Rattus norvegicus: one gene and its partners. The protein of the gene in region 2 interacts with the protein of the main gene of each other region in a biochemical or structural test. Links are inferred from orthologs where the notes say so. Each region holds a gene or a part of one and is shown on either strand. Other genes may lie near its edges.

What was found.
Region 1: the proteins of Fgfr1 (region 2) and Ncam1 form a complex in vitro, tested with the Homo sapiens proteins (2 studies listed by BioGRID and IntAct). The link is inferred for Rattus norvegicus from reciprocal best matches to the Homo sapiens genes FGFR1 and NCAM1.
Region 3: the proteins of Fgfr1 (region 2) and Fgf9 interact in a biophysical measurement, tested with the Homo sapiens proteins (2 studies listed by BioGRID and IntAct, with this or other methods). The link is inferred for Rattus norvegicus from reciprocal best matches to the Homo sapiens genes FGFR1 and FGF9.

Annotation. Positions count from the first base shown.
Region 1 is NC_086026.1:59,059,165-59,063,430, reverse strand, and holds the start of Ncam1 (neural cell adhesion molecule 1 isoform 1 precursor), read left to right. Parts: upstream 1-1,450; 5' UTR 1,451-1,658; coding exon 1,659-1,710; intron 1,711-4,266.
Region 2 is NC_086034.1:73,201,316-73,204,880, forward strand, and holds part of Fgfr1 (fibroblast growth factor receptor 1 precursor), read right to left. Parts: intron 1,245-3,565; coding exon 1,042-1,244; coding exon of another isoform or gene 1,041-1,041; intron 265-1,040; coding exon 119-264; intron 1-118. UniProt on the Homo sapiens protein: Tyrosine-protein kinase that acts as a cell-surface receptor for fibroblast growth factors and plays an essential role in the regulation of embryonic development, cell proliferation, differentiation and migration.
Region 3 is NC_086033.1:36,325,912-36,330,173, reverse strand, and holds the start of Fgf9 (fibroblast growth factor 9), read right to left. Parts: upstream 2,817-4,262; 5' UTR 2,665-2,816; coding exon 2,388-2,664; intron 1-2,387.

The sequences.
Region 1 (4,266 bases), on a different chromosome or scaffold from region 2:
ACTTAGAAAAATTGTGGCTATCTTTAGAATCTGTGGGGCAAAGAGATATTCCTTGAGCTTTTATACTTTTCTGTATTTTTAAAAATTGTTTATAATCAGCATAAGTTACAAATTATAAAAGTGAACATGAACGATTCCTGGGAGACAGAATACTTCTCGTGAATCCCTGGAACCCCCAACGTATGATAGTACCTACTAGGTACATTATACAGCAGAAAGAAGAGCTTGGTGGTGATTGGGCAGCTAGCAGAAGGTGGGGTTTCAAGGAGCCTGCCCTTTAAAGGAAATCGCAGGGCTTGGGATTATGCATGAAGTGGTGCTTTCCTCTGTCAGAGCCGCTTCTCTGAGCAAGGCCACCCTCACCTATATTTCCTGCACAACTCAAGTCCTGTTCAGGTGCTAAAGGTGTTGATTTCACTCTGTTCTCATCCCCTCTTTTCACAGACACAGCTGTTTGATTAGTGGAAGTCTTTGCCTTGACATCTCAGTTACACTGGATTTTTCATAGCCTTAAGAATAGGGGTCTCTCTCCTGCTGAAGGAGAATTCTTGCTCTTGCTCCTGTGCCGTAATACACACCGAAAAGCCAGGGCAGCAGTGGAGGGAGAGGAAGAGAGGATTCCAATACTTGCAAGCAGTTTCTGGTAATTTCTGAATACTACTTCTAAATGTCTCTGCATTTTCTTCTAACTGCCCCCCCGCACCCCCCCCCACTTCTGAGATCTGAGTTGTGCTGCTGTGAGTTGCTCCCTCTGTGGGAAGGTAAACTTCATAGGTAAGAGAAAACAAACAACAAAGCAAACCTCCACAACCCTCATTTCTCTCCAAATTTCCAATTTCCTTCACTTAGGAGGAAGAGGAGGAAGAGGAGGAAGAGGGTGAGGAGGAGGAGGAAGAGGAAGAAGAGGAAGAAGAGGAAGAAGAGGATGAGGGAAAGGAGGAGAAGAGGAGGAGGAGGAGGAAGAAAAGGAGAAGAAGGAGAAGGAGAAAAGGAGGAAGCCATTTGCTTCCTATTGCAAGGACTTTAGTAACTACATGGGGTGGGTGTGGGGGGCTCTACAACTTTGAAAAGCGAGCTGAATCTAAAAATTCTTTCTTTTTTTTTCCTAATTATTTAAACGTTCAAATTCCCGATTAAGGAACGCTGGAGGGCAGAAGGATCTCCAAAGGCTTGAGTGAAGGAAAAGGGTGAAAAGAAGAAATCCCAGCTTCTGCCTGGAAGGTTCTGTGTGAAAGAGCCCGGCTCCCTTGGTGACTCCAGGCCGTGTTTTGCAGGCGGCCGCATCTGCCTCCCCTGTCTCTTACCTCCTGGATGTTAGGAACTATTTGTGGTCGGCGTGGTGGAAGGACACAGTGAGGTTCTCACCTCCGCCCCCCGCCCGTCGCTCGCATCCCCAGTTCCATCAAAGCCAACCCGGGCCAGCGCAGGGATCTCCGAGTTGCGAGTGTGCTGAGGCTGGGGCTGTCACTCATTCTCCGCTCAGCGCGTGAACGCAGCTCGGCAGTGGCTGGCAAGAAACAATTCTGCAAAAATAATCATACCCAGCCTGGCAATTGTCTGCTCCTCGGTCCATTGCTCCGCCGCCGTCCACAGTCGCTTGCAAGGGAAGGCACTGAATTTACCGCGGCCAGAACATCCCTCCCAGCCGGCAGTTTACAATGCTGCGAACTAAGGATCTCATCTGGACTTTGTTTTTCCTGGGAACTGCAGGTACATTTTTATTTTATTTTATTTTTAAAATTCTACATCGGGTTTGTTAATTGTCCGCTTGCCCCTGTCCTTCCTCCCTTTCCCCGAGAAGCACGGTTCTTTTGGGTGGTTTTGTGTGTAAGGCAAAGACAGCATTTTCACTGAGCTGAGAAGGGAGCGCATCGCATCGTCCTTGCTTGGCCAGCCAAACCCGTGCCCTCCGGGACGGCGCTGGACGCGGCTGTCTCCCCGCTCGGTGGCGACCGCGCACGCCCTTCCCACTTGTGTGCCCGTGGAGGTGGGACAGGGGTATGGGATCAGGATGCTGCGGCTATGGGCAGCGCTGCTTTCCCCTTCCCCGAAGGCGGGTGGCGGGGATGCGCTGCTCGGGTGGTGTCGCCCCCAGGCTCATCTTCCACCTAGAGGGGTTTGTCAAGCTTAGAGAAGAGTGAACAATAAGGCTGGGGCAGCTTTCCCCCCACCGTTATGTCCCGGGCTGTGATAAAGTGAGGCTTGCAGCCTCCGCTCACTCCCCCCTCTTCCCCGCCCCGAATAACGGTTTGCAAAATGGGGCAACCACGGGCAGCACCGCAGGGCCCCGTGGCCGTTCCTGCACCCCCGTGCAAATGACGTTAGTTTTTCATTTGCCAAATTGCTGGGTAGTTGCAAAGCCTGCCATCGGCCGGGAGCACGGAGGGATGGGAGGGTCCAGCGCCGCGTTTTGACAGGAGGAAGTGCAGAGGGGCGGAGGGCGAGGAGGGCGTGATCGGGGCTGCCTGGTTGTGCGTGTGTGTGTGCGTGTGTGTGTGTGTGTGTGTGTGTGTGTGTGTGTGTGTGTGTGCGCGCGCGCGGGCGCGCGCGCGTGTGCCTTTACACGCACCGAGAGCCCAGGGTTGCACGGTGCCAGCGAAGAATGGCAGGTAGCCAGTTGCCCAAAACACCTCTCCCTATTCTCCTTTCTCTGGGTGATATTCCTAATCCTGGCAAAGTGTGAACAATGGGGCGCTCTGGAGAAAGACCGTAGCGACGCTGTCGCGGGTGGCGGGGGCTGTGCCACCGCCCAGAGATACTAAGCATCCGGGAAGGGGGCGCATTGCATTTTGGCTATTTTCATCTTGGCTTTCCCTGGAAAATTCTTCTGTGTGCCCACCCTCCCTTCCAGCTGCTGCCCCTACCCCACCCAAGGATTTGTGCTTTGGCGTCCCTGTGGACTGGGAGAGGGGCAAGCAAAAGGCGCTGGGACCGCCGAGAGCTGGGTGGGATGGGCCGACAGCTGGGGCGGGGGGGCGTGTGCTGCCAAGCACCAGCTGAAAGCAGGCCAGGCAGAGGAGACCGCGCATGGCTGTCGTTTCTGCCCAGTGTGGCTGTACTAGTCCAGAATCTCTAAGCCTTGGGTGTGGAGCGCACAGAGCGGCCCCGGGAGCACCCAGCGCGCCCCCCTCCGTGGGCAGCAGGAGAGCAGAGCTGGGCCACCGCCTCCAGCCAACTCTGGTCAGGGACCAATCAGAGCGAGTCTGGCTGGGCGGGAAGCCGCGAGAGGCTTTTATTGCGGCGCGGGTGGCGCCCGAGCTGCCAGGATGGTCTCCGGGTGTTCTAGCTTAACGGTCTCGCTCGCCACCCGCTGGGAGAGACCCCGCCCTGATACTGCCCCTAGCTGCACGGCAGTTTTCGAGGACATAAAATGGAGAAGGATGGGCCCTGGGACATCTCTTGGTCCAGCTACCTCATTCTCGCCCACTCGTGCCTCTTTCACGGCGGCTTGGAGCATTCAGGCTCCCTGTCCATGGCGCACAGTTGCGCCGGAGCGCTTCGCCTGCGAGTGCAGAATATAGCAGCCCCCAAGCTGTGTCCCAGAGAGCAGACGCGCCTGCGCTGACCCTCTGGCCAAGGACTAGACGCTAGGGTGGAGGGGCGTGGCGGGGTGTGGTAGGGCGTGTCTTTACAGGGCGTGCGGAATGGGTCCTCGCCACCGCCAAGCCCAGGACTGGCAGAGGCGTGCCCTTCTCCGTGGTGCTGTGGGTGTCCTCCTCTTAGGGTGTGCTTATTGAGACCTTCCTTCTGGATAACAGCGTGACAATGGAGACCTAATCTTCCATGATGCGTCTTTTTAGGATCTTCTTGTGGTCTTCTCCATGATGGAGATGGGTGTAACCCTCCTTCAGTGTTTCTATCCTGATAGAAGCTGAGGGAGGGAATCCTACAGTGGCGTGATACCGGACGCTCAAGCAAGACTGGCATCCTGACCAGTGTTCCCTGGAACGAAAGAATTTGTGTCTGCCCCTAAGCCCAGTCGGTGAGGACGAGGAGAAAGAAGCACATACCAGCCTATTTAACAAAAGAAAGTGGTTTTACACAGAGAATTTTCAATTAAAGTATTGTTTTCACCAGCTTAAAAAATCTAGAGAATTCAAACCAAAGGGTTAGGAAGAATATAAAAGAGGGATATATATGAATATCCCCCACCCTTAGCTGCAAATGCTGTATCCACAGACAATGGTATAGTTCAAACCCTGTTATTGGTGAATATGAAAATTTAACATATAAGGAACGCTATCTCTAGCATTGGTTAATGAATAT
Region 2 (3,565 bases):
GGGCTATTTCTAGAGAGGCATCATGTTCTTTCAGTGCCTAGAAGGCCCTGGCACACACAATTCCTACAGCTAGAGCAAAAGCGCGGGCATCCGCGGTGGAAAACTACAGCAGCATTACCTGTCCCGGGGCAGCTCCCAGCGGGGATCTTCAGGGAGCTCATATTCAGAGACGCCAGCTAGCATGGGGGTTCCGCTGGAGGACAGTCGCGAAGGCCGAACCAGGAGAACCCCGGAGTTCATGGATGCGCTGGAGTCAGCTGACACCTGTAAGAAAGAGTGGGGTCACCCTTCTAGCAAGGAGAGGGTGAATCCGTAGCCAGCCCCTCCCTTCCAAATCCCCACTTTTTTTTTTTTTTTAAACCATAAATAGCTCAGATTTACTTCTATTCCTAAGGATGTGGTGAAGACAAACAAATAAACAAACCAAAACCATAACAGAAGCTCTGACTAAGCAGTTTCCACCATCAAAAAGTCTTTCCAGAACCAGGCGGTGGTGGCGCACACCTTTAATCCCAGCACTTGGGAGGCTGAGGCAGGCGATCTCTAAATTCAAGGCCAGCCTGGTCTACAAAGTCAGTTCCAGGACAGCTACACTGAGAAACCTTGTCCTGAAAAACCAAAAGACAAACAAAGTCTTTCTGGGCTCCATTTTGCTTACCTAACCAATGAGCATACCAAATATACCTCTTCAAGCTTAGTGTTTCATGATATAACTGCTCTTCTCTTGTCCCTAACTCTTTGCAAAAACTCTCTGCCTTAGATTTATGGATTCCTAATCCTTACAGGCACCTTTCTGGGTCAGCGGTGTTCTGAGGAATGATTGATCTTTCACGCGTCTGCGCCTTCTAACCCATTCATTTCCTCCCACCGTGTCTCGGGTGACGGAATTAGTTTACAATGTTCCAATGTGTCCAGAAATTGGAGCCAAGTCCAGAGCGGGAGATGAGGAAAACCCAAGAGGGTAGGAAGGGGAGCAGACCCCAGAGGCCCAGGAAGAGGGGGTGAGAAAGTGCTGAACCTGCAAATCCCCCATCTACTTTCTGTTACCTGTCTGCGCAGAGGGATGCTCTTAGCCAGCTTATGCACAGCCATCTGGCTATGGAAGTCGCTCTTCTTGGTGCCGCTCTTCATCTTGTAGATGATGACGGAGCCCACCATACAGGAGATCAGGAAGGCCCCGGTGCAGTAGATAATGATTTCCAGGTACAGAGGTGAGGTCATCACGGCTGGTCTCTCTTCCAGGGCTGGGTCAGTGTGGACAGGGTGTCAGCAGGTCATGGCGGGGCTTTGCTCACAAGAGGTGTGCCCCATGAGAAACCCAGCACCTGCCCCTTTCCCCTGGGATCCTGCCATCAAAGGACCAGGTACCTTGGGACCTCCGAGGTATCCTTAAACATCCTTAAACTCACACCCCATCGAGGGTAAATGCAACCTAGACTGTCCTGGCAAGCAAGCCCAGCACTCATTAACTCCAGTGCCAACTTACTTAGCTGACCACTGGGTTGGATGGGCACCTCAGACCCTGCAGAAGCCCAATGCTGTTCACACATATTATATAGAAACAGACTGTTGTGCCCAAAAGACCAGATAGCCTCAAGACACCTGACAGAGTGGGACCCTAATGAATGCTCATCCTGTGTCTTACCAAACACCCGTCACCTGTTAGAGCAGATCAGTAAATAGCAAAACATAGGCAAAGTAAATGAATGGCTAAATATGTCTCTACATGGAAAACCATGTATTTGACAGTTAAGAAATCTATTCATGCCCCCCCCCCCCGATTCTTAAAATGTAAGGAAATGGGATGGGGCGCGGCAATCACTTTCCTATGTTCTCTATTTAGAATTCATACCGGGCTAGCTAGTTTTATGCCAACGTGACACATGCTGAAGTCATCGGAGAGGAGGAAACCTCACTGGAGAAAACACTTCCATAAGAATGGGCTATAGGGAGCTGGAGAGATGGTCCAGCAGTTAAGAGCACTGACTGCTCTTCCAGAGGTCCTGAGTTCAATTCCCAGCAACCACATGGTAGCTCACAACCATCTGTAATGGGATCTGATGCTCTCTTCTGGTGTGTCTGAAGACAGCTACAATGTACTCATATACATTAAATAAATAAATCTTAAAGGGGGGGGCTATAGGCAAGCCTGTAGGGCATTTTCTTAATTAGTAATTGATAGGGGAGAGCCCAGCCCATTGTGGGCAGTGCCATCCAGATGCTCCTGGGCGCTATAAGAAAGCAGGCTGAGCAAGCACCCCTTCCTGGCCTCTGCACTAGACCTCCTGCCTCTGGGTTCTTGCCCTGTTTCTGTTTCTGCCCCTGACTGCCCTTGATGATGAACTGGGTGATATGGAAGAGTAAGGGAAATAAATAAACTCTTTCCTTCGGTCATGGTGTTTCACCGACGCAGTGGCCATCCCAGCTAAGACACATACTCAACCCCACTTGCCAGCCAGTCTCTCTTTCTCTTCACTACAAGAAACAGAGTCTATCTGCTGGAACCTCCTTGCCCTGCAGGTATATAAGCCCTCCTCCAACAGTCTTCCCTTTAAATCCTCAGCCAGTCAAAGTGACACCCTGGGAGTCCTCCCAGCCCTGAGAGTCCTCCCCCAGCCCGACAAGGAAACAACAGAACTGACGACAGGGAAGGTATCGGTTTGTGTCTGTCCATCATCCCCGCTCTCCCTTACCCCCCATCAAGTGTCAGGAAATGAGGACTCACAGGGAGCACTGACTAAACAGACAGAGACGACGATAAAGACAGGATGCCTCTCTGCTAGCGGCAGTGTGTGAGCACTGCTGGGCAAGCGAGGTGGAAGGGAGAGTGGAGAAGGTATGCACTCAGCCGCCACAGAAGAGCAGCTCTCAGGTCTCATGCAAGCAAAACCATACTGGTCCTGTGGTCACCAGCCCACCACCCAGCAAGGCCACAGGCTCCTTTCTTCCTGGGTAATCCACTGACATAGATCTTCCCACTTGAGAGGGGCAGGCCAGGAGGGATGTCCAGAGAGGTCAAATGGGTACCACCAGGCATCCCGAATGGCTAAGACAGGCCTTTCTTAGGTAGCTCAACTTTGCTATCCCAGTGAGTCAATCAGAGTACAAAGCAGAATGAAGAAGTGTGGTCCAGCAACACTCTATGGAAGCTGTAAACTCCTATTGGCCAAGAGCATGTATCCGTGGAGAAGAGGTCCATGGCTCTTCTTGGGATTGGCTAAAGAAGATTCCATCATTCAAACCCTCTGTACCAAATGGATGAGGGAAGATGCTATACCCAAGGACGGAAGGAGCCTGTGCTGGAAAGCCCAAATGCGAGGTAAACCCAGAGCTCACACATGCATTACATCGGCCAGGGAGAGAGAGAGGCAGATATACATGTGCAAGGGGAGGCTGCTGTGTCACTTCCTGGAAATCCAGGAACTTCCCCTGCTTGTGCCTCAAAGCCTGAGCAGAAAGGGGTACACAGCAGATGGGAGCCGCCCCTTTCTGCCTCTCCCCAGCCCCGTAATGGATGCACTGCTCCCGTGGCAAAGGCAGGACCCGGAGAGGATCGGTGCAGTGT
Region 3 (4,262 bases), on a different chromosome or scaffold from region 2:
GCCCAGTTGTGAGGCACCCCTGGTTGGGACCCGGTAATTCACACAATAAAGGTGGATTTGGCTGGTCGCAGCGCCCCTGCAGCCCTGCGCTCCGAGTGCAGCCGGCCTTCTGCTCCCGCAAGACTAGATCCGGATGCCTTCCCTAGGCTAGTGGTTAACAATAGCATGCCACCCCCTGCACCGCCTGGCGAGGCCCTTTGTCACCCCCACCCCCACCCCTTCCCCTGCGACTGTGGCCTCGCCAGGCCAGGGGCCCCCGACCCACCTCCCAGACCCAGCGGAGCCCTACGACTCTCCCAAACCCCGCTGCGCGCTTCGGAAAGAAGGGGGGTGGGGAGGGGACCCTGCATGAGACCGCGAAGCTCAGTTCCAACCTCCAGTCTGTCCTCGGTCCCCGCCACCAACTCTCCGGCTGCGGTGCGCACCTCCGGCGGTTCCCACACCGCACACCACCACCGCGCTTCCTCGGGCGGCGGCTGTCAGCGCCGCCAGACCCGCACTCACACACAAAGAGAAAGCAAAGGGACTAAACGAGGGCAAAAAAGAAAAGTCGGACACCCTACACGCGGTCAGAAGGGAGTCGGCCCCTGTCTTTCCTCCCCTGAACCCCAGCGGTCCCCGCAGTACCGAGGGGCGCACAGGAGCACCATGGAAAGGGAGTTAGAACCCGAGCGCTCTTAGGACCGCGCGGAGCCAGAGCGGCGCGGGGCCCGGGGCTGAGCCCGCACCTGCCGGCCGGGAGCGCGGGAGGACCCGGCTCCAGCTGCCCCGGGCATCAAGCGGGCTGCCCGGGCATCAAGCAGGCTGCCCCGACCGCCAGGACACTCTATCTCCGCCACCACCGGCCTCCCGCTGCCTGTCTTGCTCGGAAAACCCGGCTCCGTAGCAGCCCTTAAGGTGGCCAGCTAGACAAGCACTCCAGTAAAGTTTAGTCTTCCCCGCGACAGCCAGCAGCGGCGTTTACTTACAGGGTGGTGGGAAGATAGTTAGGTTTCCAAGGAATCATCGCAGCGATGAGCTACACTTTCTGTTTTTAAGCAGCGAGGGGACACAAGTCAGTTGGCCATATTGACTGGGTTCACTTTCGACCCCAGCCTCAGTAGTGAATCAAGGGAGAAACCCTGGGCCTCAAGAATTTGGACTATCTTCATCCAGGCCTGGACCTTCCTCACCTCCGGGCAACATCCACAGTCCACGAAGCTAGCACGTAGTTTAGATTTCCTCCAACATCTGGCATTAAGGCATGAGGAAGAAAAATCACCACAGGACTTGGTTTTACGACCTAGTCTAAGTGTTGTCAGGTGGGTTCACTCAGGAGTTAACTCCTTCCAACAGTCTGGTTGCCCAAACTGTCGATTTTTTTTTCTTTTTTTAAGTAAAGGGGAAACCTAGATTCCACACACCCCGCCCCCTCCCCAACACCAGGCAGAACTGTGTTCGCTGACTTAGCACTGCACCACCACTGAAGGTGCCCCGCCAGGCACGTGTGTGGAAGCATGAAAGTGGGCAGAGTCCCCACCTGAGTCTGCAGCCTTCGGTGCTGAGTCACAAGTACCCTGCTCGGAACACGAAATCTTCGGAATGTCCTTTGAAATGAGCCTGCAGCTTTTGCAAGCACACGCAAACACTCACACCAGAGCCACCCAGGAAACCCACACAAGGCTACAGGCTGTGGAAATTATAAAGCAGAGGTTGGGAGTCAATGGATGTAAGAGCCGACACCCCTAGTGGGATTTCGGCCCCCCACTCGGGTCCTTTTCCCCCCCCAGGAGCTTCTGCCCGGATGTTTCGGATCTAAAACACGACCTCAGTGCTCCCCACAGAACAGCCAGCAATCTTCGCCTGCGAGGCTTTCAGACCAGCACCAGGAATAAACAGCACGCTTAATTTACAATTCAGGCAGAATGCTTATTAGAGGAAATGGAAAGGGAGAGAAACTTAATTTGAGCAAGATACCGGCTACCTACAGAAAAGTGGACGCAGTTTAAAGTTCTTAGTGATTAAAGCTTTAAACTCGTGGAAATGGGTCCGTTAGAAAGAAACTTCGTAAACCTTATCTTCTCGCATATCTAATGAAAAAACTTGGGATTTGGGTTATATTCATACTCACTACCCCCCCCCTTTAAAAAAAAAAAAGAAAGAAGAGGAAGAAGAAGAAAAGAAGGGCCTTCTGAGTGTGGAGTTGCACCAATGCCAGCCGCAGATCTGCAATTCCGGAGGCTTTTTCCCTCCCTGGGCTGGCAAGATACTCAAAGGTGTGGGGGGTGGGAGGATATGAATATGACAATATAGCCCTTCCAGCATCCCCGTCTAACCACCGCCTTCCTGGTAGTTAATAATCTGAACGTGTCACCGCGTGGACACTGAGGGGTTAAAGGCATACCTACCGAATCGGCTGTGGTCTTTCCTGGTTCCCTGGATAGTACCGTTGGGGAAGATTTCTAAGTGAAATCCAGTCCTGCAGTACAGCTGCCTCCGCCTGAGAATCCCCTTTAAATGATCCAAGTCCGTGACTGCGGGTCCCCGGGGCAGCCCCCCTGCTTCGGACTGACCCAGGTGGTCACTTAGCAACACCGGACTGTCCACCGGCAACACCGGTACGTTCCCGAACGGTACCGCGTCCTGCACACCGAAATAGCTCCCAACTTCACCTAAGGGAGCCATCAGAGGACTCGGCTTTTAATCACAAGAATAAACAATAATGATGGTATCAACCAGGAGACACTAGGCGAGGTATATCCAACTCCCCTCCCTTGCTGCAGTTGCAGACAGAGAGGGAAAAAGGGTTCTTTTCTTCAATCCATCCAATGCATAAATAAAAGTAATCGGCTGTTTCTCTGGCACAGGTTCAAGGTCAAACCACTGATAGTCTAAGAAGCCACCACTTCATACTCACACACTGACATTGATCAACACAGCTATGCATCGCTACATACGGAGCCTCGACTCCCAGCGGGCAGAAAGGTCTTCATCCCATCCGACCGTAATAAGGGAAAAAAATCCGTAGTTTCTCCATTTGCTTAGAGATCAGAATGACCATAGCAACGTAAGTGCCTGGGCGATATTACAGGGATTTTTAAGATGCTCGGGCTACGTCAGAATTTACGGATCCTGACTCCAGAAAGGCATGCGCTGTTTTTACTCTCTAACCGACTCTGCAGACATCAGCATGAATCCTTCAAGGGGAAAAAAAAAATCTCACGTTGGCGGCGGCGACAAATCTCTCCTCCCAGTCCCTCCTCCAAAAAATAAGGATAATATAACAAAAAGAAGGAAGAAAAAAACTTTCGGCGTCCAAAGCTAGTATCCAGAACGCTACAGAGGCTCTGCGGAGGTCCAGCGGCTTGCAATGAGGCGAGCGGCAAGCGGCGGGCGAGGACCGCGTCCCGGAGCTCGCGTGCTGCCCGGGCTGCCGCGAACAGGTGTCGCCGCGCGGGCCGCGCAGCGCCGTGGCCGCGGAGCGCTCCTCCTGCGCAGCCCCCGCCGGCGCGCAGAGTGGCGCAGGCGGCGGCATTGGGCCGGGTTTAAGGTAGCGCGGCGGCCGCCCCGCTCCGCCCGGTCCTAGCGCCCGCCCTGACGCCCGAGCCGCTCTGCCGCAGGCCGGGCACAGGCGGGCTGAGCGCGGGACTTCACGGGGAAACCCGAGTCCTAGGAAACCGGCTTTAGAGACGCCGGAGACGCGGTGCCAGAGAGGGGAAGCAGCAGCCCTGGAGACGTTCGGCCGCCTGAGATCTAGCTCGCTAAAGGCACAGGGTCAGAGGGGAACTGGGAAGGCAGTTTTCGCGCGGACTCTGTAACCTTGAGGCTCATTATAAAATAGACTGGAAGGGAAAGGTTGGTGTAGGGAGCTTGGCTGGACAGGGCAGTTTCTCTTTCATTCTTTATCCAGACTCACAGACGCGCAAACTATATTGCAGGTATGACAGTTGGGTGTGAGTCAGATTCTTCTCTCTCTCTCTCTCTCTCTCTCTCTCTCTCTCGCTCTCTCGCTCTCTCGCTCTCTCTCTCTCTCTCTCTCTCACACACACACACACACACACACACACACACACACACACACACACACACACACACACACTGGTGGACCCACACTCGGGTTTGTTAAGGAGTTCTGGCTCGCATCTTTGGGTTGTTCGGGTCCTTGCCTCCGCCCCCCAGGTTCCTGAGGCTAGGAGCAAAGGGCACCCAGGGCTCCTGAAAACAGCCCCTGTCCTTGAGTTCGACTCACGCCCCAGATCTGAGTGCGCGTCTTCGGGGAGAAG